7 linked regions of the Danio rerio genome follow. The protein of the gene in region 7 purifies or fractionates together with the protein of the main gene of each other region. This does not show direct contact. Links are inferred from orthologs where the notes say so. Each region holds a gene or a part of one and is shown on either strand. Other genes may lie near its edges. The genes, in order: plrg1, sf3b1, prpf8, bcas2, snrpd2, rpa2 and prpf19.

Region 1 (4,214 bases), on a different chromosome or scaffold from region 7:
AAGAAATATTTCAACAGCTCATTATTTTTGTTTTATGTGTGCCCAAATGTATTCATTCATTCATTCATTCATTTTCTTCTTTCTTTCTTTTTTTTTTTTGGTACCTTTCTCAACGAAGAGTAGGCAACTTTGCTGTCAATGGAGGATAAGGGAGCTCTTAGATTCATACATATCTTAATTTGAGTTCTGAAGATGAACTATTATCTTGAGGGTTTGGAATGACATCAGGGTAAGTTATTAATAACAGAATTTTCATTTTTGAGTAAACCAATCCTTTAATGATATTATTGCAAATATGCCATGTTGATGGCAGCTATCAAGGTTTAGATAGCTATCATCTTAATATACATCAATTAAACAGTAATAAACATTTCTTTTTGTAGTTCAATAATGTATGGTATGGTAAGGACACACAATAAAAAACGACACAGAAAATATTATATTTACCTCATATTTTGATATCTTGTGAGTAAGGTATCAAGGCGGCCCAGTCAGTCAGTTTACATAGGACTACTAATTTTGTTTTCATACAAAGTAGTTTTTTTAGCTTTAATAAACTATCATAATAAAAGCTATTTTAATTCCGGTAAGGACCATGTAAATGTGTGGGATGGCCGCATTTAGTTACAATAAAAAATCATAAACAATATTAGCCTATATAATAATAATAAACTTGAAGAAAGAAATGTTAAATAAGCTGATGAAAATCAAATAATATAAATTTTTAGTAAAATGTTCTTATTTTTTAAAACAAATTGTGACCAGAGTTATGGAACATGAACAAAAATATGTTTGGAGGTATTTTCATAAGTTTAGGCTATATAAAATCACTTAAATATTATTATATATAAACAAACATTTTTTTCAAGGTCTGTAATATTTATAAAGCATCATATACCAAATTTTAACATATATCTAAAAATATGTAAATAAAAAAAACACTTTCTCTTGGCAAAAAAGTATATTATTTTATAGTGCCACCTTGTGGATTCTCACTAGTAGGTCTTTTACTACATCCTAAATTTTCAAAACTAGCAGATGAAATAAATTAAATTGGCTGCCTGACCTTTTTACATTATTTATTTATTTATTTATTTATTTATTTATTTATTTATTTATTTATTTATTTATTTATTTATCTATCTATCTATTTATTTATTTATTTATTGGTTTGTTTGTTTAGAACCCATAAGCAGTCATTAACTTTAGTGTTTAATGTGGTCTTCCCAAAGTTGTTGGCAGCCAAATACATCGATACTGTAAATGTTGTGTTTATTGTAAATGGCCATAAGTTGACTTTTTGGTGATAAAAAAATAAAAATAAAATACGAAAAAAAAAAGACTTTTAATGGACTGTCGTGTCTTGCTGACGTAACACCCTACCGGAAAACGCTTTGTCGCGCCCGGAAGCTGTGCGTACGTTTGCACTACTGGTTCGGGTTGTGATTGTTCGGTGTGTTGGGAAGTTTCTTTATTTGCGTTAGTTCGTCGTGTTTTAAAGGACCCCCAAACATGACCGAGGTAAGGCTGTGCTGTTGTTGCATTAGCCGTTGTTCATTTGAAAATGATATCTGTTTAGTTTTTCTGTAATTGAACGCGGCGTAACGTTACTGTATTACCACACGTGTGGTCATTTGGATCTGCATATACGTCTTATAATATCCAATCAATTAATCGATGTTGATATTTTGTCTTTTTTATACACACAGGACGTGCAGAAGCACTCAGTCCACACGCTTGTGTTTCGCTCTTTGAAACGGACTCATGATATGTTTGTGGCGGATCATGCCAAACCTATAGCGCAGGACGAGCAGAGGTAAATAATCAAACTTTTTGCTCTCAGTATTGTATGGCAACGTTGATTAAAAATTAAAATCGATATAGACCTTTCACTCACCCTCAGATGGTTCCAAACCTTAATACGTTTCTATTTAATTGAGATATGTTGAAGAATCTTGGAAACCGGTTGCCATTGACATTCATAGTAGGGAAAATATTATAAGCGTCACATTGAGGTGAAGCTGGTTTTGTATTCGCTCATTCGGACTTTCTCCTTAATAATATAATTTTTGTTAAAGTAATCTTTGCAAATTTTAAATGGGAAAACCATATTAGCAGCCACGACTATCAAAATACAGTATTGTTCACAGTCAAATAAATGGTGCTAATGTTGTTTTGAAGTCATATTTATATGTGATTTCAGACTGAATGATCAAAGTACCTAGGTAAACAATATAGGGAGCATGTCACAAGTTATCACTGAAAGAATGTACGGATATAAAACCAACTTTTCCTCAATGGACATCATTGGCTACCGGCTTCCAAGATTCTTCAAAATGTCTTATTTTGTGTTCAACTAAAAAAAAATCTGACAAGTTTGGATCAATTGGGAGGGTGAATCATTTTTAATTTTTGAGCAAACTGGCTTTTCAAGCAGAAAAGACATTTTGAATGGTGGTGGTGATTTATAAACTCGTGTTACAGGGTTTGTTAAAGCCATGTTTTTTTACAATAACATTTTACAGCATTTGACAGGCTGTTCATCACCACTGTGAAGATCCTACTCAATGCTTGTTTTACAAGATTTCCTTATCTGCAAAACAAATTTCATTGGACTGTCCTGCTTTTAAAGGGGTGGTCCAGAGTGTATTTTTAAGCCTTGTTGTGTTTATAAGATGCAAAGCAATGTGTGCTCATGTTTAATTTGTAGAACATCTTACTTTGATTATATACAACTACTCAGCTAACATGAAAACAACTGTCATTTCCTAGTTTCTTCAAAAGCCTGTCCTCAAGAGGCTCTGATTGGTCAGCTAACATAATGTGCTGTGATTCACAGATCGGCTCCACGTCACCAGGAAATGCACCTCTAATAGCATGCACTGTGCCTTTGCTTGTGTAAATACTGTCAATCAGTTTAGCTGTTAGTCATATCAGTTTGAGCCTGAATCAGAAAGAAAAAGAAAAGGACACAGCTGAACCTCACGCCCGTTCTCTAAAATAAAACCTGACAAGTGTCTTTCACATATATCCGGAATAAGCATGTGTAAGTAATATGAAACTTTCACATATCTTTTGCGAGTTTGTTGTCTGAGATGTAGAACACAGGGAAATCGACCTCATAGACACTGCAGCGTGGTAAAGATTGTGGCTGTTTACAAGGGTTTGATGGACAAATATGAATTTGTAGCCAAATTGTTAGTAGTGCCCTACAGCATTTCCCATTGTTTACATTTTTGTTTGTGTCTTTGCTTCAGCATACCGTTAATGATAGAAACTGTGCATGTAGTAGATCAATTATAACAAATATAAATATCAGTTTTGTCTATTATGGTTGCAACTTCTGCTTCTTTGGAGGAGTTTTAGCCGAATCCAACACTGAACTTGGAAACATTCTGGAAGCTGTCCTTTGTCAAATGCTAGAGCTTTATCATTTTTATCATTCTCTGGAACATAATTAAAATTAAGCTAGTTCGATTGAGTAGGCGCAGCCAATGTGACATCGTAGCGGAGTTTGCGGAGGTTTGGGTGCGTACAACATGATTTCGGGAATAGTTTTTTTTCTTTACACTCGAGCAAACAGTGTGTGCGGTGCCGCATTTGATTTGAGTTTAATATGAAACACTTTGAAGAGATTTTGTCTGGAACAGGTACGCCTGTACAGACATCTTTTGTAGAGATAACCATTTATAGGATTTTACAGTGATGTATATATTACAATTTTGAATTTAAAACAATTTAATAGTTACAAAACTAAAATGAAGGAACAAAATATTTCTTTGATAACTGGAAAGGAATATTTAAACCCATCGGTTTACAATATACTGATGGCTTGTTTGTCTAGGCTTTATCAAATCAAATCAGGCCTTTATTTGTCACATACACTTTCGTATTGTGAAATTTGACCGTACACAAACATCACAATTTTCAGGGGAAGACAGGTCACAGGAGGTAGCATTTAGAAAGGCAAGATGCATCAGGAGGGTTAGGCAAAAAATACCCTCTAAACTTTGCTCTTGATTAGAGCAAATTGAGACGGAGAAAAACAGCCCATCTAGCACAAGAAAGCACACAGACAAGACACAACATTGACAACTGGGATGGGAACAGGGGATATGGATGTAGTGCGATGAGGGTGGGCAGCCATCTGGTCCTGCAGCCATGGAGGAGCTGGTCGCAGACCCGCCCACTCCTCTCATGGGTGAAAGCATACG
Region 2 (3,944 bases), on a different chromosome or scaffold from region 7:
TCCAGTTAAGTTACAATGAAATTGCTACTAAACTACTGTTGCCATTACTGTTATCGTCACAGAATTTGATAGTAATATAAGTTAGTCCTAAGTCAATTAAATATAATATGGAGCAGTTTTTCACAATGTAAAGTAATTACACATGTATACATTTTAAACTTCATGATAATAAAGACAAAATATAATCATTTTTGTGCAAAAGACCCCATCCTAAAATGTAAGACACCCAGACCACATAGTTTCTGGAATAAATACCAAATTTATACATTGAACATGTTGAACATACTATAAATAGATCTAAAATAGTATTTGGAATATGCTTATGTTTCTATTATGTTACATTATTAAATATTTACTTATTTTTTATTATTTAAATTATTAATTATTACTACTATATGTACTAGTTTCTCCATTCCTTCCCCCAAACATTTCCATAGAACCCCTAGCTAAAACTTCCTTAACTCAAATTTAAAACCCCCTGATTATGTAACCATACTGCTTTTTAAAACTGCAGTCAAATCTGTCTTACATGCGCCTGTAACATAAGCATTCAAAACAACAGAGAGCACGGTTTTTATGTAATACTATTTAAAATATTTAAGCTAAAATGACCGTAGTGCATGTGTTTGAATGCAAGAGGGCTTCCTAGTGTTGTGTTGCTGGAAGGGCATCCGCTGCATAAAATATATGATGGATAAGTTGGCGGTTCATTCCTCTGTGGAGACCCCTGATTAATAAAGGGACTAACCCCCCCCAAAAAAGAAAATGAATTAATGTTTCGAAAGAGACACAAGTAAACTTGTCCTGTTCTCATTCCTCCTGAAAAAAGTTTGGTCTTTGCCACATAAATATGCTATTAATTAAGTTGTTTGGTTCATAAATAGCCTTATTCCATTTTATCTTGTTAATCTATACCTTAGAGTCTCTAACTAAAAACAACAAGCAAACATTTGGAAAATCCTCCACTCCGTTGTGGCTCTTTCCTCAAGCAGAGCGGGGGGTAAACTTAACAAGAGAATGCTGTCACTTGCCAGCTGTGTTGACGCCTAGTGCTTGTGCTCTGCGCATGTGCGTTATTTTCTGCCGCAGAGAATGCGCATGCGCGTTCTTGTAAACGAGACGCTGTCGTGAAAGGCCTTCCGGTAGTGAGGCTTACACAACAGCACGAAAATGGCGCAGATCGCCAAAACACATGATGGTGAGTTTAGGTTTCAAATATTTGCAAGAAGCATGTCTCGTTTTGTAGTTTTTTATATATTGCATTTTGTGCTTAATGCCACTTTTTATTTAAAAGAAGTGCATTAAGCGAGAAATGAGCAGGATTAGAACTGGCTAAGCCCGTGAATAGAATATGGCGTCTGGTCGTTGAATAAAACCTGGCCGTGGCGCACATATAAAATATCAGCGCTTTTTCCGCATTAAGAGTTTTTTTGTGGATTATAGCAGAGCTAATTGTAATATACAGTGCTAGAAAATAGCATTAGCATGTGTCTGTTTTGTCTATGTAGACTACGTAATGTGAAGATGTACTGGTTAATCAGTGATGTATTGAAACCAAAATGGCGTTGCAAACACAAACAGAGCTTTTCCATTATGTAGGTATGTTCATAGACGTTTACTTGTGATAGTGTGGTTATTTATTTTATTTTTGTAGAGATGTAACTTGTATTCATTGTTTAACGTTTGGCATTTTCCATGTTTATGTATAACACATGGCCGTGGGTGATTGTCCTGCAACAGTCATTATGTTAAGCGGGCTTACGCACTTTTGTTATATTAATACATTATGCAATGTTTTTATGACAATACCTAAGTAATAATAAAATATAAGTTACATCTCCCTTCACGTATTAGTTATAAATATTTGTAAGGATTTTATATGTATGTAGGGACTTCTTTTTGTCTTAATATTGTGCATGTATGGTTTACAAATCATTGTCTTAAATTGAAGAGTTAGGATTCAAAAATCTCTAAATGCCAACTTGTCTCCTAAAATGAGAATTTTGTTTCAGCCTCCTTGTTATTTCACTTTAAAGTCAATGAAAATAACTTATTCATTACTATAACAGTAACATTACTGAGCCTACACACAGGAGTTAGAGAAAAATGCTAATTGAAGAAGAATATCAAGCGGCATGTAGAGATTTTTTGCATATAAAACTCATCGATTGTTGATTTTAATAATATAGTTTCAGAAAAAGAATTTTTGCAAATTCTTAGTAGGGAAGGCATATGACTGTCAATTAAATAGTGCTACTGTTTTTTTTATTATTCTTTAGGGTTAGATTAAATCTCTTGTGTTAGTTTAGACTGAATATTCATAGCACAGTAAACAATATACAGGCCATAATATAAATATAAAAATATAAAACCAGATTTACCTTAGTTTGTTCTATTAATAGAATATGCAGTTTAATGTCAGTGTGTATTAAAGGTTCCGACTGTATGATAACCTTGGATAAAAGTTTGCAATTACTGCTCTAAAATAAGTTCTTTTTAAATATCTGTTAAAAAACAAAAACATTTCACTTTGAACACAATATATATATATATATATATATATATATATATATATATATATATATATATATATATATATATATATATATATATATATATATAGGTACAGACTTCATTAGTTAAAAAAAAAAACAGATTTCTTTAAAATTTAAATTTGGCATCTTTGGAGATTTTTTTTCTGCTAGAGATACTGTTGTCCTAAAAAAACGAAACGTAAAAAAAATCCTACGTTACAGAAAAATTTGGTGTTTTTTTTTAAACCTTGACATTTCCAAACCACGGTATACCTTGAAAAAGGTTATTGTCCCATGCCTAACATGTATAAAAGTGACGTTAGTGATGGTGGAAAATGACTTCCAGGTCACCTCACCTATTATAATATTAGTTAAAATGTTTTTTGTTATTTTTAGAGGACTAATCTCTGGTTGTTGTTTTTTGTTTTTGTTGTAGACATTGAGGCTCAGATCCTGGAAATCCAGGGGAAGAAAGCCGCTCTGGTGGTGGAGGGCGGTGACCAAGGAGTTGGCCTTGATTCCACTGGGTATTATGACCAGGAGATCTACGGGGGCAGTGACAGCCGCTTTGATGGGTATTTGACTTCAATTGCTGCCAATGAGCAGGAGGATGTAAGTTATAGCATAACGCTCTTAAAAGTAAAACAAAAAATACAACTCCATTGTGTATAAGAATTCTGTTTAGTTTCTTGAACCTAACCCCAACTATTTTTATTTTAGGATGATGACGAGGATTCATCTACAAGTCTCCTTGTACAGAAGAAACCAGGATATCATGCTCCGGTTGCAATACTCAACTCAATTCCTCAGTCAGATGAGCAGGTAATTTAACAGACTTTCCACCTTCAAGTTGCAGTGTGTGTGTGTGTGTTTTCTTGTGAAGTTTTTGTATGTGTTTTTGAAATGTCAATTTCGAATTGATCATACAATTGTTTGTACCCATTTTGCAGTATGATCCCTTTGCCGAACACAGACCGCAGAAAATTTCAGACAGGGAGGATGAATACAAGAAGCGCAGACAAAAGATGATCATCTCCCCAGAGCGTCATGACCCGTTTGCTGATGGTAAATTTCACACTACCATTCTCCTCTGCTTATTTTATTTGCCCATGCCAATCAGTATTTATGTTCTCTGCCCATGACGATCCGGTGCAGACCGGCCTTTTTTGCTGCTTAACCCTTCGAACACCACCCAACTGCTTGCTCCCTGGACTGATCTGTAAAGGCCCTGATATGTGCTCAGCGAAGTCTTTGAATTTTTCTTAAAACTTTCATTTAAGGATAAAATAAGTGTAAAATACTTGAACAGTTCTGTTCTGTTAGTAAATTCTAAACCACTCAGGCCACTCTTTATAATAATATATGGTGTACTGCACGTTTAACAAAATAAATATAAATTATAGAATTAAG
Region 3 (3,969 bases), on a different chromosome or scaffold from region 7:
ACATCTATAATATGGAATTATCAGAATGTGCTGTAGAGTAGAAAATCTATTTCTATTAAAGAATTGGTGGACAGAGGAATAGTTCTTATTTTAGATTTATTAAAAAAGGACGGTAACATTTACTCTTACTTTGAGTTTTCTGCAATTTTCTGAAGGGATACTTAGCCCAGAGTATGATTTGGTTATAAAATCTATTTTAACAAAACTATTATATTTGACTAGAACCTATGCTTATACAGACTTAAAATGTGAAATGCACAAATTAGTTATTTATTAATTAGCTATTGGATAAATTACTTATATTAAATGTAATAATTAGCACATTAGAAGAAATTTTGTTAATAAGTCTAGCTTGTACCGAAAAGCATTTTATAACTTTAAATTAAATTACCCGGTTCTATCCCTCATTACAATTTGGCCTGGTATCAATACGTTTTTAGTACCAAATAAGATGACAGAACTTTATTTTAAAATCCTTCATAATTACTATCCCTGTAATTCTTTACTATCTAAATTTAATAAAAACAATTCTTTACAATGCACATTCTATAAATCTAATAGTACAACAGTACATTTATTTTTAGACAGAATATCTTGGCTTGTCTTATCAGCTTATAAAATCCTTATTGATTTTAAGACAATTATTTTATTGTTTTTGTTTTGGGAGTCAGATTGTAAGGAATTGGACAGTGTGTTGACATTTTTACCTCTTTGTGGCCTTTTCCATCTTCACAAATGTAGAGTTATTCAGTGTTTGCCTAATAGAACATTTTGTATTGACTTAAAACTTTATTATGAATTGCTAAAGAAGAAAGCTGCCAAGACAACTGAAATGCTGAAGATATATATATATATATATATATATATATATATATATATATATATATATATTTATATATATATATAAACATTTTATGTATTGTTTTTTCTTAGCCTTTGTAACATCTTTGTAACTAGCTGTACAACGAATATGTATCATTAGTATTCTGGTCACACAATATTAGGACAAATTAATGTTTTATGTGTCCCCTATTACTAATGTTAGTAAAAAATTAAAAAGGACAGCGAGACTTTTCAAATCCGGTGTCATATCCGGAAGTTGGGTCCTACGCATTTTCTTACGTTCGAAGTCGTAGCTTGTTATCATTTCCGTTGAGGTAGAATTGTTCAGATACGTAAGCGCTTTGGAGAATGGAAAGACTCTACGCACAACGTGCATAGTACGCCATTCCGCTGAGCACAAAACCACCGTACAACTACAGTCACTGGCGAGAAACTGCTTTTAACTGTAAGTTATTTCATTCTGTACGAGCTTGTGCATATTTTATTTGCAAGATTTCAAAGTATCACTTACGATTTGAAACTGTTTGTTTCCGGAAACGGTTTACTTGTTGTGTAATATTCGGTAAGCTAAGCTAACATGCTAACTAATGCGTTATCGATGCCACAGAAACTAATCAAACCACATACATTCATACACACCAGTCGTAAATATTGTTACTTAAGATAAAGACTGTGTAAAAGTCTACCCGGTGGCTGTCTTGTGTAAATAAATAGTTTCTAGATTATTTTTCGAAGGTAAGAAAAGAGTTCAGGCGCGATAGCAAGTTAGTCGGCTAAGTTCATTGATGTGATTGTTATGAAAAAAATGTGATTAAGTTATGTACTTTAAAGCTAGTTGATAATACTTCCACATTTTAGTTTCTTTTAGAACGATTAAATTAGCATTAGTTAGGTCAGTCTTCCTGCTTACTGAATTCTTATTTAGGTTTTGTTGTTGTTGTAGGCTTGTGAGGACGTGTTTTATTGAAATAATTGTTGTCTTTTCTGTGCGTTACTCATGTTTTGCAGTGTAACCTTCTATATTTATGATTTAATGTTTCTGCTTGCAGTAGACGCTGCCATGGCAGCTCCTTTCCCCTACAGAGGTCTTCCTGGACCAATGCCTCCAGGTGTTCCTCCACCTCCTCCTGCTGTTGCTCCAGTGCCAGATTATATGACTGAGGAGAAACTGCAAGAGAAAGGTGCGTTGGCAAAATTCTTGAGGTTAACAACGGCATGCAATTTGTACCCAAGACTCAAAGTTTGTTTCCTTTTTTTCAAATGAAATCTCCTTCTTGTAGCTCGTAAATGGCAGCAGCTGCAGGCCAAGCGCTACTCTGAGAAAAGGAAATTTGGCTTCGTGGATGCTCAGAAAGAGGACATGCCACCAGAACATGTGCGCAAAATTATCAGGGATCATGGTGACATGACGAACAGGAAATTTCGTCATGATAAAAGAGTCTACCTAGGGTAAGAACATTTGCATCATTACAAAGGTAGCTGGTTTTTATATGATTATCATTATTAAAGTTTTTTTTATGTAAAATTAATTGTTGTTTTTAATCTGCAGGGCCCTGAAGTATATGCCCCATGCAGTGCTCAAACTGCTGGAGAACATGCCAATGCCCTGGGAGCAGATCAGAGATGTACCTGTGCTCTACCACATCACAGGCGCTATATCTTTCGTGAATGAAATCCCTTGGGTTATTGAGCCAGTGTACATTTCTCAGTGGGGGTAAGTGGCTGTGTGATGTCACTTGTGAGAGGATAGATTAGTGGGAAAAAATGTTGGCTAAGGCCATTTGTAGTATTTTCTTGGGGTGCTGCGTAGTTGTGCAGTAAATTGTGGTTATGCGACCAAAGTGTAATTTTAGCAGTAAAAATTGTCATATTATTGTAATTAATTATTAACATTAAAACATCTTATCATTACCGTATTTCAAAGTAAAACAAGGAAAATTAAATAAATTAATTTTTTTGTAATATTTTGCTTGTCATATTTGAGAAGGAAATATTTTGATTGAAAGATTTATAGTGCCCTTTTTGGGGAGAAGCTGTAGCAATATTGTTTATTCAATTTTTTATTTTTTTTTATTGTTTTATAATGTTTAAACTGTTTCTCTTTACACCAGCACAATGTGGATCATGATGCGTCGTGAGAAGAGAGACAGACGGCACTTCAAGCGCATGCGTTTCCCGCCATTTGATGATGAAGAGCCTCCTTTGGATTATGCAGACAACATCCTGGATGTGGAGCCTCTGGAGGCGATCCAGATGGAGCTGGACCCTGATGAGGACTCTTCTGTCACAGACTGGCTCTATGAGCATCAACCTCTGAAAGACACCACCAAGTGAGTGTTGGGGACAATTTTAAAAATATGGTTACTTGCTTCATTTGTTTATGGTTTGTCTTTTTTCTTCCTTCCACAGATACGTGAATGGGACCACATACAGACGATGGCAATTCACTTTGCCAATGATGTCCACTCTGTATCGATTGGCTAATCAGCTGCTGACAGACTTGGTGGATGACAATTACTTTTACTTGTTTGACTTGAAAGCTTTCTTCACCTCTAAAGCTTTGAACATGGCCATTCCTGGAGGACCTAAATTTGAGCCACTTGTCAGAGACATTAACCTCCAGTACGTACTGTGTCCTAACTGTGGTATATTTGGCAATTGCTTATGTTATCCAGGGATCTAACTTGACTTTCGTTTTAGGGATGAAGACTGGAATGAGTTCAATGACATCAACAAGATCATCATCAGACAGCCAATCAGGACAGAATACAAAATTGCATTCCCTTACTTGTACAACAATCTGCCACATCATGTGCACCTCACCTGGTAGGAACCATTATCTTTCCTTCAGTTCAATCATTCACAAAAACTCTTGAACTGATGTTTTTAAGTGAACTGTTGTTCTGTGGTGGTCTATACAGGTACCATACACCAAATGTGGTGTTCATCAAGACTGAAGATCCTGATCTACCCGCCTTCTACTTTGACCCTCTGATCAACCCCATCTCTCATAGGCACTCAGTCAAGGTCAGAAATTAATTAAACTGTATGAATTAAACGTCTGTGCATTCAGTCCACAATTATTGCAAAGTTGTATTTTCTCCATAGAGCCAAGAGCCACTGCCA
Region 4 (4,091 bases), on a different chromosome or scaffold from region 7:
ATCAGCTCATTAGTGGAGACTGAAAGACCTGTAATGAGTGTAACGAAGGAGACATCCAAAACATGCAGTGCTGGTGCTCCTCTAGAGACAATTTTAAGGGACAATTTTTGCTATTAAAAACCCATCAACACTGACTTTGTTTTCTTAATAAATTCCTTATTAATAATTAGGTTTTAGTTTAGGTATTAAGTATTAGCAATGAAGAATAAGATCAAGCAGAAAATGTATTATATACTCAGTGAAAATACTTGGATTAAAAATACATCAACATATAACCCAACTAGGTTATTATACCAACTTCCCAACTGTGGGTTATTTTAACCCAATGCATTTGGTTATTTTGATTAAATGTAATTTTTCTCCATTCTGGTATTGCTACTATTAGTACTAGTATTATTTTATAATTATGGCTGTGTAAATAAATAACATACAGTTTAAAAAATATTGAAAATGCTTTATTTCCATTGCATTTAAAGTTCCAGACACTTAAGGGGTTTTATCTGTTTAATATAGATCGGCTATGAGGTGTTTGTATTATTAACAATTCAGAGTGCTGGTGGATATAAAACACATGACATGGAGAGGTAATTTGATTAAAAGAATGTATTGCGTTAGACCTTAAACTTTTTAACGCAAAAACATCATTATGTACACATAACAATAAAGCTGTTCTGTATCAGTTAAATCAGTAGACTGTTGAAATTCTACATTTTTAACCCAACTGGTTGAGTTATTAAGTAAATAAAGGTTAAAAATAACCTAACAGAACACCAAATATCTAACCCAACTGGATGAGTTATTAATAAATAACCCAATAAAGTTTCAAAATAACCCAACAAAGCACCAAATATTTTTAACTCAACCATTGGGTAAAATAAATAACTTGTGAGCCAATAAGGCAGTAATAAGTAAAATAGAGGGTACTTATATTAAGTGTTACCATTTTTCATTTTTCATTTTTTCAACAAATGTTTTTTTGCTTAATATACTTGTTTGGTGAATGCTTGTTCCACAATTTACAACATTTAAAAAACTTGACATTTGAATGTTTTTTATGAAAAAAGCAAAGCAGCAAAAAAGGTAAGTTTCATTAGCAACATTTTGAGAAGATCATAAAAAAAACAGACAACTTTGGGTGACCATACTTTCACTGGATAGCATGTTTTTTGTGACTTCAATGTGTTTTCTTTTTACTTTCTGTCAAACTTTCGCGCTAAATAAACTGATGGCGCGTTTTCTCTCCGAAACACAAGATGGCGCCTACCTTCCGTTTGACGTTCAATGTAATCCTAGCAGAAGCAGTGCGCGAAGCGTGTGTTTGTTCAGGATGGCAGGACCAGCATCAGTCGCTGGTGATGTTTTTGTTGATGCCCTGCCTTATTTCGACCAGGGTTATGATGCCACAGGGGTCAGAGAAGCCGTAAGTACACTGAATATGTATTTTTGTGCTTTCTGTCTTTTTAAAACGATGAAGAATAAATATTTACTTTGCTGGCAGTTGGCTAACGGCTAGTTCTGTTGCATAAACAAGACAGTTTGGATATTTAATCCTTCGTTTTTGTGGATTAAGTATGGTTTGGTATTACAGTGATCTTTATTAAATCGAGAAATAATCGGGTTTGATGGATTTTAGGCCGCTGCTTTGGTGGAGGAAGAGACGAGACGATACAGACCAACTAAAAACTACTTGAGTTACTTGCCCACACCAGATTTCTCTGCTTTTGAGGTAAATAAAAGATGAGAAATATTTTCTGCTCCTTTTCTACTTGTTCACACTGTAATCTTATATTCTGCTTTTGTTCTCATCAGACAGAAATCATGAGGAATGAGTTTGAGAGACTGGCTGCCCGTCAACCCATGGAGCTGCTCAGTATGAAGAGGTCAATTTACTGAGCAAAAGTTAAAACTGTCTGTAAAAATGTACTTTCAAAGTGGATAGGGAAGTACTATAATACTCATAAACCTAAAACTCGTAAAAGTATTCCACCAATCAGATTGTACTGTACCATATAGTAATTGAGCAACTTGTAGGTCTGGGGCTACTTGCATAAACATGCATCAAAGAAATAATAAATTGTTAACATCTGCATTAATTCATTTACCAGATGCCTTTTTTTTTTCCAAACAACTTGCATATAAGGATAAAAAAGCACTTTAAATCACTTTAAGTAAACGTGTGCAGAGCCACGTTTTGTAGGTGAATGACTGTAGCTTGAATTTGATCAAGTATGACCGGGCAGTTGTGGCTATGTGGTCTGTAAATTTCAGCTGGTCAAGAACCACTCCAAGGTTTCTGACTGTCCTGAAAGTAGTTTTATTTAATTTATAGTTTGTTTATTTATGAGTATGTCATTTTCTTTACTTGAGTTTTATTGTCCAACTCAAACATTTAAGAAGTGGTTAGCTCTGTAAAATCCCCCCTTCCTTAAAGAGCATTTGTCCTTTTCATTGAGGAATATATTATAATTCAATAAGTTGCTGTTCACTGTTGTGTAGATTTCTGAAAATCAGAAATTTTTGAAACCAAATCCATTGTTGACAGCGATAAGCAAAATCAAGAAACAAACAAACTGATGAGACTCAAGATCAGGCCAAAACTTGAAATCAGGTCTTGAAGCTTACCGGTTGGTTGTGATTGTCATAACAATGCGATGACATAATTATCAATTCCTCTACATTCATTCATTCCCAGAGTGCACATACAGTAATAGGCTTACCCTAATATAATTACTAATTTGTTGATCGAGCTCACATTCTTGCACTTGTTTGTTTAGATATGAGCTTCCCGCTCCATCGTCCGGACAGAAGAACGACATGACAGCGTGGCAGGACTGTGTGAATAACTCTATGGCGCAGCTGGAGCATCAGGCGGTGCGCATTGAGAACCTGGAGCTCATGGCTCAGTATGGAACCAATGCATGGAAGATGTCTAATGAGTGAGTGAACTGACTTAAATCAGACTATTCACATCTTTTGATGCAAATCAGACTTTCTATACTCTAGGGGTGTGTGATATTGACAGAAATATGAAGCTGTTTCTATTAAATTATTGTAAATGAGTATTATTTTACTGTTCCAAAACAGCTTTATAAAAGATGTGCATTATTACATTACAATCACAGTTAGAAAAAGTTACAAATGTCAAATGTATTAATAGTTAATCTGCAGTTCTACAATATAATGTACCTTTTCAAAAAGTATATCTGTTCTGTTTGAAAGCAATAATAATTAATCATGTAATAATTCGGTGAGTGTTTTTAGTCGGTCACCTTGGCTGTATTAGGCCTGTCATTAGCTATGTTTCCATCCACCTATTTTTATGCTCATTTTGGAGATGCATTTAAAAAAATTATTGATGGAAACACCAAGATGAGCATTAGTTTGTTATAAGAGGTCATGTGCAGTGTTGGGGGGGTTACTTTGGAAATGTAATAGATCACAGATTACAAATTACCCTATTAAAAAACTAAAAAAACTTTTTAATTACTTTATAAAAATAAACTAACTGATTACACTTGATTATACTTGAACTTCAATATGTCCTGTTTGTTAATTCACAGTAAAATGATGACATCAGAATATAACTTTTCATAATTATAAAGTTGATTTATTATGTTTAAGACATGTGCTTGTCATCTGTCATTGACAACATTAGACCATTATATTTCCTTTATATATGGGCTAGGGTTATTAATTTTACTGTTCCAAAGCATGTTTACAGTGATACTGACACAGTAAACATTTATTTTCATGCACAACACTTTGTGTTCTCTATGAAAGAAAAAACCTATCAAATGCTTGTCGTAATCATAAATCTAAAATGCGATATGATCATTTATCAGTAACAATTCAGTAATAATCACAACAGGTTATTATGTACTGACGTCATTTATCTCATATGCACTCCGTTGCGAGGGAGGCGAGTGCAAGTATTTACAATGATCCAACGACTTAAAACTCATAAACTGTGCACAATTTCACTGCATGTGTTTGCTGGATCAGTCTTTCACTGACATTTACAGCAAAGCCCCTATTTCACTGCGACTGAGACCATTTCTCTCTCTCTCACTCACACGCACACACACACAATC
Region 5 (2,849 bases), on a different chromosome or scaffold from region 7:
CTTGTTTATCAGATGTCTCCTCGCTGCTCATCTTCACCGTGTTCACCGGGGATGATATTTACACACGCTGTGAAGTTTGTCATACCTCCGCGGATGCGCACTTCCGTTCATTTGCATGGAGCGACCTAACTGGCATCTGTTTAAAGATTTAAAGTTTACATGAATCTTTGACGCTGACATAAGAAAAATAGCATTTTAAAAATTACTTTAAATAATCCGGGAGCAGTTTCATTTAGTGAACCACCTTAGCGTCTAGTTCAGGTTCCTTTCCATGCTACTGTGAATATTCTGTCTAATACAGCATATATGACTTCAAAACAACATTAGCAGTATTTCATTGACTGTGTGTGAAAAAGTTGTACTTTGATAGTCATTGGCTGTCTGCTAATATGATTTCCCAATGTAGAATATAAAACCAACTTTACCTCAATGTAAATATTATAGGGACTGTGTCACATGTTGTCTCTGAATGAATGTGTCAATTTAAATTTTACTTCTCCTCAATTTAAATATGTTACTATTGCAGTGTGAATGGATGTAGCTCAGTGGTAGAGCGCATGCTTTGCATGTATGAGGTCCTGGGTTCAATCCCCAGTATCTCCAAGAGCCTTTCGAGGTTCTGTCCACAGACGATAAACAGGGTTAAGAAAGTGGTGTATGGTCATAGGTTTAGTTGCAGCGTCTTCAATTGTCTTATCACACTAACTGTACAAAAAAAAAAAAAAAAAAAAACTACTAACACTTCCCTTCTTAGACTTTACAGACCTGAAACTTGCCTTTAGTACTTATTCATTGTTGCTCTTAGTTGTGTAAATTGCTTCCTTGTCCTCATTTGTAAGTCGCTTTGGATAAAAGCGTCTGCTAAATGACTAAATGTAAATGTAAATGAAGAGATAAAATTGCTTTAAAAAAAAAAGTATGCAAAAGTAAGCCTATATTAACATGGCTATTTTTTTAAAGTACTCATGGCTAGGGTTTTATACTTGCATATTCATTCAGTGACAACTTGTGACATGGTTTTCTACATTAATTACCTTTCAACTTTGAATATTCGGTCTGAAATCGCATCCAAGTAGGACTTAACATCATTAGCACTATTTTATTGTCTGTAAACAATGTTGTACTTTGATATTCATTGACTGCTAATATAACTTCCCCATTTAGAATTAAGAAATAATGCTTTTCTTAAATTATTATTATTATTATTAAGAGGAAATCCAAATATGCAAATATAAAATCACCTCAATTGTAATTTGGCCGATGTAAATTTTAGCCCTTTATGCAGACATGCTAACTGTTGAAATGTCTCATCAGGAGTTTATTAAACAAGCCCAAATCTGAGATGACTCCAGAGGAGCTCCAGAAGCGAGAGGAGGAAGAGTTTAACACCGGTCCACTTTCAGTGCTCACCCAGTCTGTGAAAAACAACACACAGGTCCTCATCAACTGCCGCAACAACAAGAAGCTGCTGGGCAGAGTCAAAGCATTCGACAGGTAACTCGTGTCATTTTGAGTGATAAATAATGCAAGCAGGCTTTGTTTACATTAGTGCTGCACAATATTTCGTGTCAGCATCAATATCCCAATGTTCGCATCTGCAATAGTCACATTTCAAAATATGCAAGAATTTTGTTGACCAAGAGCGACAGAATTGTGTTTAATTACTGTATTTATACAGGATTTAGGCAAATAAAGCATTTCTTATCATTTTTGGCTTGTTTCTAGTCCAAATGTTTACATTTCAAAGCTAAAAAAATAACAAAGTAAAAGTGAAACAAAACTATATTTACTTGATTCAAAAATTTTAGATATTTCCACTAGTAATGAGACAAAGCAAAGCAAGAAAATTATTTTTTTTTACATTGTGATTAATTTCTGTGAATTTAATTTCTGTACCTGAATACTGTTAGACTCTATTGAAAACCATCAAACAGTGCTATTTAAATTCTCTTCTAAAACTGTATCCCATATTGCAACATTTATTGCAAATTAAAATCTCACACTATCAAATTTTTCTAAAATTGTGCAGCCCTAGTTTACATGCACAGGCTTGTGTTGATATGATTAAACTTTTGAATATCTGTGTTGCAATAGTTTTCTGAACAAAGTATCTGCAGAGTAATAGTTGCATTTTGTGTCAACATAACCTATGCTTGTGTCTCCTGTTTGCTATAGGATTTGCTAAGATGTGTATTTTATTTGCTACAAATAAATTATATTGAATTATTTAATGATTTTGCTGAATATTTTCCCAATACTACCATGTAATATATAAACATAATATAAATTATTACTATATAATATCTAAACTATTACTATATAATATATAAACTATTACAATATAATATATGAACTTTTAATATAAGATATTTAATATATAAACATATTATTAACTTTTCCTATATAATATATAAACCATGAATATATAAGATATATAATATATAAACTAGGCTTGGGCGGTATCCAACCGGCGGTATACCGTCAAATCTCCTCCCTATTTTAACCAGGTATCCGGTATTACCAAGCATAATAAACAAAATTACGACGTAAGGCTCAGACAGCGTCACCAAATTGTGCCTAAACCATTCAGAAACTGATACCGTATATGCGACCTTAGGTTTGCGGTCACCTGTTTGTCTTGTTTGTATTCTTCTGCGTAGGACGCTCTTTCTTCAAACACACACACACACACACACACAGAGATAGAGAGAAAAAGAAGAGAGAGAACCAAGCAACACCCAGCAACTCTCTTTCTCTCTCTCTCTCTCTCTCTCTCTCTCTCTCTCTCTCATTCACACACACACAAACACACACCGAGAGAGAGCACCAAGTGACACACGCAGATTGCA
Region 6 (4,229 bases), on a different chromosome or scaffold from region 7:
CATTTGTCTCCTCAAGTTATAATTAGATTGTCTAACTCAGTGGTTCCCAAAGTTTATATTCGCACATTTGTTCATTTAGCAGTCTCTATATTGTTTACCATGTTACTTTGAATATTCGATCGGAATTAGCATGCAAGTTTGACTTCTAAACAATATTAACACTGTCTAATTCACTGTGAACAATGTTGTACTTTCATAATCATTTGCTGCTAAAGTGCTAATATGATTTCCCTATTTAGAATTTGCAAAGAATACTTTTCTGAAATTATATTATTAAGGAGAATGTCTGAATATCTCAATTTAAACCAGCTTTACCTCTATGGAATTATGTGGAACCCTGCATATTGTACAGTGCATGAAGAGACTTAGGATGAAATGTGTTAGAAATCAATTTCTTCGATTTTAAGAGGTCTAAAGTTAACAGCAACGTTAGTCATAAAGTTATTTTTCATAAAGAAAATATCATGGCGTTAAATAAGCTGTCCAACTATCTGGTCAATACTGCCATCTAGTGTTTCATTGTGGCATTTCTAACTGTTTTATCTTATAGAGCTAGTGTAAAAAATAAAACAGTATGCAATAGTATAATATATATAATTCAGTATACTATATAAATAATTTTAAAACCTAGCTATAAACATTTAAACGACTATATTTTAGTACTCTCTAACTTAGTGTTCCCAAAGTCTGCCTCCTGAAATTGTATAACCTTTTATTCCAGTAAATAAACTCAAAATAAGCTGTAACGTTACCCTAGTACGTTAAAAGAAATCCCGTTGAATCCCTGGGTGCTAAGTGTAACTGTACATGACATAATTCACTCACATACACTGATGAAACACTGCATTGACAGTCAGTGACTATGAGAGAGCCAAAGTAGAAGAGAAAAACTTTACCGAATGAACAAAAGGCCGCTTTGCAGCTTCTGTCTGAGCTCAATAAAGAGGACATCTGTGTTCGCAGTCTCTTCCATTGGTATTTCTTTACAGAAGCTATGGATTCATCGATTCTACTCATAAATCCCACGCGACACACAAAACAACGTGACGACAAACTGTCTGCGACACCGTCATTTCATATTAAGAGTCTTCAGAATTCAGTTTGCATCTGTTCAGTGTTAACGTTACTTTTAAAAACATTTTAAAAAACGCTGTTTTCAAACATATTTGGACAGTTATTATAATTATTTTATTTTAATATATAAACAATATATGACTGGGCTTAGCCCGCTTACATGCTTTAACTATTCCAAAACATATGAGAACGAGCGTAAACGTTTTAATGTAAATTTCAGTGAAGAAAGATTACAGATTTTTTGTTGTTTTTATTTATTTTTTTATGCTTTATTTTTATTTAAAAACAATTTTAACAACATACAAGCTTCTGTGGACTTTTACAGTATACGTGTGGGACTTTCGCGGCAGATGACACACGCGCACGCGTACTGTGAGCGCGCGGACTTCGAGACGTGACGTCAAACTGTGCGCGATCAGTCGTGGCGGGAGATTTTCGAGTGTCTTGTCGGTCTGCTTCGCATTCAGAAGAAAAACATTCACGAGTGAAATGTGGAACCAAGGTACGTGCTTTAGAAATCACTTTATTTTGGCTTTAGAGCTGAGTTTACTCTGCTAGTCCGCTAATGAGAGTCAGAAAGCTCTGTTATACAGTGTCAGTGTGATGTCGGTTAGCGGTGTGTTGTCAAGGTCTGTTTTTAACGCACTCTTACGTTACTGCCAGTCGGACGGGGTTTTTAACCAATAAGTCGTTTTGATTGAAATATGGTATTCATATTTTTGCAGGTAAATACGGAGAGGCCAGTATGGCTGGGTACACACAGTCTCCTGGAGGATTCGGGTCACCAGCCGCTTCTCAAGGAGGAGACAAAAAGGGGGTCAGTATATAAATAACTTTAAACACCTATATATATATATATATATATATATATATATATATATATATATATATTGAGGTAAAGTTGGTTTTATATTCGCACATTCGTTCAGTGACAACTTGTGACATGCTCCTCATATTGTTTACCATGGTACTTTAAATATTTGGTCTGAAATCACTTGTAAACATGACTTCAAAACAACATTAACACCATTTATTTGACTGTAAACAATGCTGTACTTTGATAGTCACTAGCTGATAATATGATTTTAGCATTTAAAATTTGCATAAATACTTTGTGACGTTTTATCTTTAAGGAGAATGTGCGAATATTAAACCCACCTTACCTCAATTGTGTGGGGTTCATATTAAATTCCTCCAATACCATATTTAATTCTGTTTAAATATTTAATTGCAGTTAATACGACTTGAGTATATTTTGTTTAAACTACATATATTTGTAAATATTACCCATAGTTTTCTATAATAGCACTTTTAACTTATCCCTATATCGTGCACTTTCTAAACTGCATTTTGAAATGACAAAAAAAGTAAAAAATACAAGTTAAATGTTCACTTCAATGTTTCAGACTATTTTTGTGACAACGAAATGTTAAAAAATGTGTGAAAAAATTGTTTGGTATTAAGCTCAACAAGTTTTTGTGTAATTAAACAAAAGCAAATACCTGTTATGTACTTCCTGATTATATAGTTAAAAGAGTAATTTAATAAACTAAATTTGGTTATAATTTAACTTTTTGTTAACAAATGGGTAAAGTGAAATGTTTTGCAGAACAGTTAATAAATATTAAGATTTCAAATGACAGGTATAAAATTTAGAGTTTGAGACTAAACTAAATTTAGTGGCCATCTTATGTAACTTGAAGTAAATTGAAATAAAATATTTATTAGTTGTTATTTTTGTTTATTATTATATTTCTTTGCTTAAAATAAAAGCGACACATCGTAAAAAAAGTTAAAACAGACAATAGATTTGCTCAAACTATTTTTTATTATCATTTAATGCACTTTTTAATACAATACAAGCCTAAACGTTGAGTTTAAGCTATTAAGCTAAACATTTAAGCTATTTTCTGTTATTTAAAAAATAAATAAAATATAAAAGATTTAGAAATTCTTTTATGAAGTATTTAATTTTCATTGCCAAAATTGTCTTTGTCTTTCATCTCAATGTTTAGGTCTGTTTTTGCTTGTGTAAATACTGAATAATATTTAATAAGGTATATAAATCATATCTTTTATAGAAGGTTTTTTCAGTATATTTCAATAATTTTCAAGTCGCTGTTTAAATTTAGGCAAACAAACTTATAACTTTAATGCAGTATTGATATGTTTGGGGACAATTCTGTTTGTGTAAAAATAATACGACTTTCACTATTTTGGCCTAATACATCTTTTGTGTAGCTGTTAGAATGACCGTAGAGAGAGTAGTATTGTTATTTTAACAGTACTTATTTGAGTCATTATCGTGTTGTTTAAGTGATTATGAAAACAGTGGGAAATCAGTGTAGTATTGTGATCTTCATGTGTGATGCTGTAAAGTGTAACAGTGATGTGTGTGTGTGTGTGTGTGTTCAGAGGACACGAGCGCAGCAGATCGTTCCCTGTACTGTATCTCAGCTGTTGTCGGCGGTGCAGGCTGAGGACGTCTTTAAAGTGGGAGAGGTGGAGATCGCACAGGTCAGTCTGAAGAATCACTAAATATCCACATTTTTATTGAAAGGGTTTCCATTTTATGGAGCCAGATCAGTCTCAAAAGTAATATATTTATAAAAAAGAATTCATTCACATATAAAAAATCTAATTCATAACTTCAAAACACGATTCATCTCTTATTACATTGTATTTAAAGTGCTGCATTGTATGTGGTTTGGATGTTTTTATTACATTACATATACAATAATAAAAAAAACAAATAAAAGAATTGCCACCCTAGTTTAAAGGGATTGTTCATCCAAAAATGAAAATTTCCTCACTCTTTACTCTCCCTCAAGCGTTTCCAAACCTTTGTGTTCAGTTCTTCTGTTGAAGAAGATATTTTGAAAGATGTTGGAAATCTGTAACCATTGACTTCCATTGTAGGAAAAACGAATACTATGTAGGGATGTAATGATTCACCTGACTCAAGAGTTTATTCACAATACACAATTTATTCATGATTTTTAAACAAAACTATTCGAAACAAATTTAAGGTAAAGAGCTCTTTCATTCCTTATTTAAATGCAGCACATCGTTTGCAAAATAATAATTTTTTAAAATTTAAATTAATTGTAATTTAATTTTAAATTAAAAAATAAAATACAAAGATAATAGAAACT
Region 7 (3,780 bases):
TGTTTTTTTTTTTTATAAATGTCACACGTTACATTCCTTTTTTATTATACTAAAATATTTAAATACTTTAGATGTAAAACTAAGCATTAACAGCAGCTATGTTTTCCCACGCTAACCGTCTGTTACATTGTTACTTTTTAAAATATATGGTCATATTTGCTGTAACTTTGCATGAGCACATCAAGTTCAGCTGGAGAAAGAAATGGTGATCTCTTTTTTTCAGATGTTGCCATGGTGAATTGTAATATCTGCGCTCCATTGATAATGCCTTTTTATAGTTGCGGTGTGCGCACTTAACTCTTGAGTTGGTCTACTCAATGTTGATTGACCTAACTCAGATCAGCTATTCTGAAACTGAAAACTCTGAGTTTTTAATCTCTCTGTAAATCAAATCAGAGTTCAAGTTTAAACTTAGAGTTGGTTGAACCTCCTTACTGAAACAGGCCCCTGGTGCCTGTCATGGATGAAAACGATGAGTCAACAGATTCATACACAATAGATTAAAAACAAATTTAAACTTTATTGGAATCTATTTCACATTTGATGATAGTCCACAGAAGGATAAAAAAAGAGAGAAGTCATGGGACACTAACAAAGTTTGCCAGCCTACAATCAAAAGATTAAAAGGTAGACGAAAAAACAACTGACATTAACCCTTATTGCCAAAATTTGTTTTAAAGCAATAATTGACAAAAAGATGAATTTACTGGTGACAAAGTCAAGGTGTACTGAATGTTTCTGAATTAATCACTACAACCATGTTTATGATAGTGAATGCATATCTATGTATACACATGCACACGTACAGAGAGATGTATTTGTTGTGGGAGTATTGTTTCTGTTACAGGCTGTAGAACTTGAGACTTCTGTCCATGCCTGTGGAAGCCAGGAACTGAGCATGTTCACCAAAAGCCACACCAGTCACCAGACCAGAATGATCTACAGGAAGAAGAAAAAGAAATTAAATTAGTTTGAGGACACAGAATAAGCTCTTAATTAAACAACAAACCCAATTTTGGACAAACTTCAAAGCGTTGTTCAACTCACCGGAGAAGTTGAGGACCTCGGACCACTGTTTGCAGATATAAACTCTGATGTCTGACCCTCCCACAGCTAGATATGTTCCACTCTGATCAAACACCAGGGACTTGACCTACATGATCAAAAAAACAGCAAAAATATTAGACAAACGTCCTGTAAGCAGAACAACTGGCAAACTGATTAAAACCATTTGACAGTGATATTTCTGGGATTCGACCTCGTAATTGTTGTCCAGAGTGATTGTCTTGAAGTTCTTCAGCTTCCTCAGATCCCACAGCTTCAGTGAACTGTCCTGAGCACCTGCATACAAAAAAAATGTAGTTTGCATGACAGTGAACACAAGTGATACTCAATGCAGAGCCAAATGGGCAGAGCTTGCTCAGAGTTAACATCTGTCATGATAAAAACTGGGGGCTACTGCGGAAAGCAGGTAATTGGACATGTACGTATAAGTGCCATGTAAGTGAATAACTGCAGCTTTCAGGTCCAAAAACCAAGATATCTTTTATAGTAAGAAACAATTGCTCTAAATATGCAGCAGGTTACGTTTTAGGGTTAGTTAGCTTCTTATCTACCTACCTACCTACCTACCAACCAACCAACCCAACTTCCTACCAACCTAGCCTCTACCTTTAGCTTCCTACCAACCTACCTAACTACTTACTTGCCTAACTTTTAACTACCTTTCTACCTACCCATTTAGCTTTGTACCTACCTACATACCCAACTGCCTACCTACCAAATTGTCCTACCTACCAACCTACCCATCTTCCTACCTACCTACCTAACAACCTCTCACACCCACTCTCTCTCTATTTCAGACTTACTCTCTCACACGAACTTCCTACCTACCTACCGAACTTCCGACCTACCTACCGAACTTACTACCGACCTACCGAACTTACTACCGACCTACCGAACTTTCTCCGACCTACCGAACTTGCTACCAACCTACCAAACTTGCTACCAACCTACCAAACTTGCTACCAACCTACTAAACTTCCTACCAACCTACTAAACTTCCTACCAACCTACTAAACTTCCTACCAACCTACCACACCCCCTACCTAACTTTTGAACTACCTACCTCTTAAACTCACTTATACATCAACATCCTATAGACCAGTGTTTCTCAACCACAATCCTGGAGGACCACAAACACTGCATGCTTTGGATCTCTCCTATGTCTGTCACACCCATTACAGGTTTTTCAGTCTCTGCTAATGAGCTAATGACTGGAATCAGGTGCGTTTGGTCAAGGTGACATGGAAAATGTGCTAAGCTGATGGGCCTCCAAGAATGTGATTGAGAAACACTGATACACCCAACTATAGACCTGAACAGTGCAGTGGCTTACAAATATTCAAAGACAAAATGCAATCCAAAGATGCCTTTTAAAAGAAATCTGTGTTTTTAAAACTAATATACCAGAAATCAATGATTTATTTTATTGATTAGACACATTTACTGTTTCACAATATTATGTCTCTTAAAATGAAATACATGTTTAGTAGTATAAAAAACTGATGTTTTTACCCAGACATTTAAAAAGAACATAACCAAGGTTATCATAGCGTCCGAATCTCATACAAGCCCATGCCTAATATATATGGTTGTGTGTGTTTCTTAATTTCTACTATTTCTTAATTTCTACTATTATTAGCATATAATATTACTATTTCTTAATTTATTTTGTAAGTTAAACACTCAAAATATGTTTAATTTATTTTTACTATTATTTACTTCTTACTATCTTACTATCTTTTAATAAAATACACCGGTTATGCAATCTTATTACAGAAATATATTCCCCCCCTAACAAATATGGAAGCAAAACCAACCAATCATTAAAAACAACTTCCAAAAGAGAAAGTGTAAAAAGTGTGTGCATGAATTCAAATCCACTTCATTATCCTGGATGTTGACAGCAGCTTCCTGACACGCACATATTACTGGACTACACTATCATTATATTATATACACACAGTAGAAGCCTACATCAAACACTTAAGGTAACAATGATTCATGACTAATGATTAATCTAGTTCTGTTAATAGAACTTACTCTCAAAAGAAGTTTTGGTGCACATACTTTGAGTAAGCAAGTTAAGGGTTAATCAACGCAGAGTTCAGGGTTAAGCAAACAGAACACCTACTTTGCAGCAATGCAGTAAAATTACAAAAATATATAAACTGTAAGAATTTATATAATCTTTAAGAACTTAATTACAGTAAGATGTTATAATGTCTCAAGCAAACCTCTGCATTAAATGTAATGTTTCATTTTTCTAATAATTTTAATTTCCGTTTTTTTTCGTAATAACTCTAGTTCTCTAGAGCTGCAGAGAAGTAAACTAAAACTTGCTAAACAACACAGAACTTAATCAACACTGAAATAGTCACCATGGCTTCTTTATAGCATGATTCAGATCATATTTGATGGAGGCCCTTAATTCTGTCATTTTTTGCATTAATAACTGTAAGGCTGATTTGCAACAATGTACTGTAAAACAGTATTTAAATAACTACTTCAGAAAACAGGTAAAATGCAGATTGAACAATGGACACAGACAGATCACATGACTCACCAGTGGCTAGATAGTATCCATTCTCAGAGAAGGCAATGGCCGTGACTGGACCTGAATGTCCAGGGAAGTTGGCTACATTGGTTCGTTCCTTAAGATCCCAGATCTTAATCTGAGAATCGCCCGTACCAGTGCCGAAAATCAGACCATCAGGA

The links.
Region 1: the proteins of prpf19 (region 7) and plrg1 purify together in Homo sapiens (affinity purification with mass spectrometry; 8 studies listed by BioGRID and IntAct, counting the BioPlex papers as one, with this or other methods). This does not show direct contact. The link is inferred for Danio rerio from reciprocal best matches to the Homo sapiens genes PRPF19 and PLRG1.
Region 2: the proteins of prpf19 (region 7) and sf3b1 purify together in Homo sapiens (co-immunoprecipitation; 4 studies listed by BioGRID and IntAct, with this or other methods). This does not show direct contact. The link is inferred for Danio rerio from reciprocal best matches to the Homo sapiens genes PRPF19 and SF3B1.
Region 3: the proteins of prpf19 (region 7) and prpf8 purify together in Homo sapiens (affinity purification with mass spectrometry; 5 studies listed by BioGRID and IntAct, with this or other methods). This does not show direct contact. The link is inferred for Danio rerio from reciprocal best matches to the Homo sapiens genes PRPF19 and PRPF8.
Region 4: the proteins of prpf19 (region 7) and bcas2 purify together in Homo sapiens (co-immunoprecipitation; 10 studies listed by BioGRID and IntAct, counting the BioPlex papers as one, with this or other methods). This does not show direct contact. The link is inferred for Danio rerio from reciprocal best matches to the Homo sapiens genes PRPF19 and BCAS2.
Region 5: the proteins of prpf19 (region 7) and snrpd2 fractionate together in Homo sapiens (co-fractionation; 3 studies listed by BioGRID). This does not show direct contact. The link is inferred for Danio rerio from reciprocal best matches to the Homo sapiens genes PRPF19 and SNRPD2.
Region 6: the proteins of prpf19 (region 7) and rpa2 purify together in Homo sapiens (affinity purification with western blotting; 4 studies listed by BioGRID, with this or other methods). This does not show direct contact. The link is inferred for Danio rerio from reciprocal best matches to the Homo sapiens genes PRPF19 and RPA2.

The regions. Positions count from the first base shown.
Region 1 is NC_133176.1:27,248,272-27,252,485, forward strand, and holds the start of plrg1 (pleiotropic regulator 1), read left to right. Parts: upstream 1-1,414; 5' UTR 1,415-1,512; coding exon 1,513-1,521; intron 1,522-1,709; coding exon 1,710-1,816; intron 1,817-4,214. UniProt on the Homo sapiens protein: Involved in pre-mRNA splicing as component of the spliceosome. Component of the PRP19-CDC5L complex that forms an integral part of the spliceosome and is required for activating pre-mRNA splicing.
Region 2 is NC_133184.1:33,854,378-33,858,321, reverse strand, and holds the start of sf3b1 (splicing factor 3B subunit 1), read left to right. Parts: upstream 1-1,144; 5' UTR 1,145-1,170; coding exon 1,171-1,198; intron 1,199-2,970; coding exon 2,971-3,146; intron 3,147-3,254; coding exon 3,255-3,356; intron 3,357-3,484; coding exon 3,485-3,599; intron 3,600-3,944. UniProt on the Homo sapiens protein: Component of the 17S U2 SnRNP complex of the spliceosome, a large ribonucleoprotein complex that removes introns from transcribed pre-mRNAs.
Region 3 is NC_133190.1:30,766,022-30,769,990, reverse strand, and holds the start of prpf8 (pre-mRNA-processing-splicing factor 8), read left to right. Parts: upstream 1-1,169; 5' UTR 1,170-1,288; intron 1,289-1,892; 5' UTR 1,893-1,903; coding exon 1,904-2,024; intron 2,025-2,123; coding exon 2,124-2,292; intron 2,293-2,392; coding exon 2,393-2,557; intron 2,558-2,954; coding exon 2,955-3,173; intron 3,174-3,252; coding exon 3,253-3,465; intron 3,466-3,543; coding exon 3,544-3,669; intron 3,670-3,764; coding exon 3,765-3,870; intron 3,871-3,951; coding exon 3,952-3,969. UniProt on the Homo sapiens protein: Plays a role in pre-mRNA splicing as core component of precatalytic, catalytic and postcatalytic spliceosomal complexes, both of the predominant U2-type spliceosome and the minor U12-type spliceosome.
Region 4 is NC_133183.1:12,585,319-12,589,409, reverse strand, and holds the start of bcas2 (pre-mRNA-splicing factor SPF27), read left to right. Parts: upstream 1-1,291; 5' UTR 1,292-1,327; coding exon 1,328-1,420; intron 1,421-1,633; coding exon 1,634-1,726; intron 1,727-1,809; coding exon 1,810-1,880; intron 1,881-2,774; coding exon 2,775-2,936; intron 2,937-4,091. UniProt on the Homo sapiens protein: Required for pre-mRNA splicing as component of the activated spliceosome. Component of the PRP19-CDC5L complex that forms an integral part of the spliceosome and is required for activating pre-mRNA splicing.
Region 5 is NC_133193.1:43,804,206-43,807,054, reverse strand, and holds part of snrpd2 (small nuclear ribonucleoprotein Sm D2), read left to right. Parts: intron 1-533; exon of another isoform or gene 534-603; intron 604-1,314; coding exon 1,315-1,494; intron 1,495-2,849. UniProt on the Homo sapiens protein: Plays a role in pre-mRNA splicing as a core component of the spliceosomal U1, U2, U4 and U5 small nuclear ribonucleoproteins (snRNPs), the building blocks of the spliceosome.
Region 6 is NC_133191.1:4,971,333-4,975,561, reverse strand, and holds the start of rpa2 (replication protein A 32 kDa subunit), read left to right. Parts: upstream 1-1,429; 5' UTR 1,430-1,563; coding exon 1,564-1,576; intron 1,577-1,799; coding exon 1,800-1,891; intron 1,892-3,489; coding exon 3,490-3,591; intron 3,592-4,229. Other genes in the region: ube3d (E3 ubiquitin-protein ligase E3D), read right to left, coding at 897-973. UniProt on the Homo sapiens protein: As part of the heterotrimeric replication protein A complex (RPA/RP-A), binds and stabilizes single-stranded DNA intermediates that form during DNA replication or upon DNA stress.
Region 7 is NC_133189.1:18,672,395-18,676,174, reverse strand, and holds the end of prpf19 (pre-mRNA-processing factor 19), read right to left. Parts: coding exon 3,629-3,780; intron 1,342-3,628; coding exon 1,259-1,341; intron 1,154-1,258; coding exon 1,048-1,153; intron 940-1,047; coding exon 842-939; 3' UTR 501-841; downstream 1-500. UniProt on the Homo sapiens protein: Ubiquitin-protein ligase which is a core component of several complexes mainly involved pre-mRNA splicing and DNA repair. Required for pre-mRNA splicing as component of the spliceosome.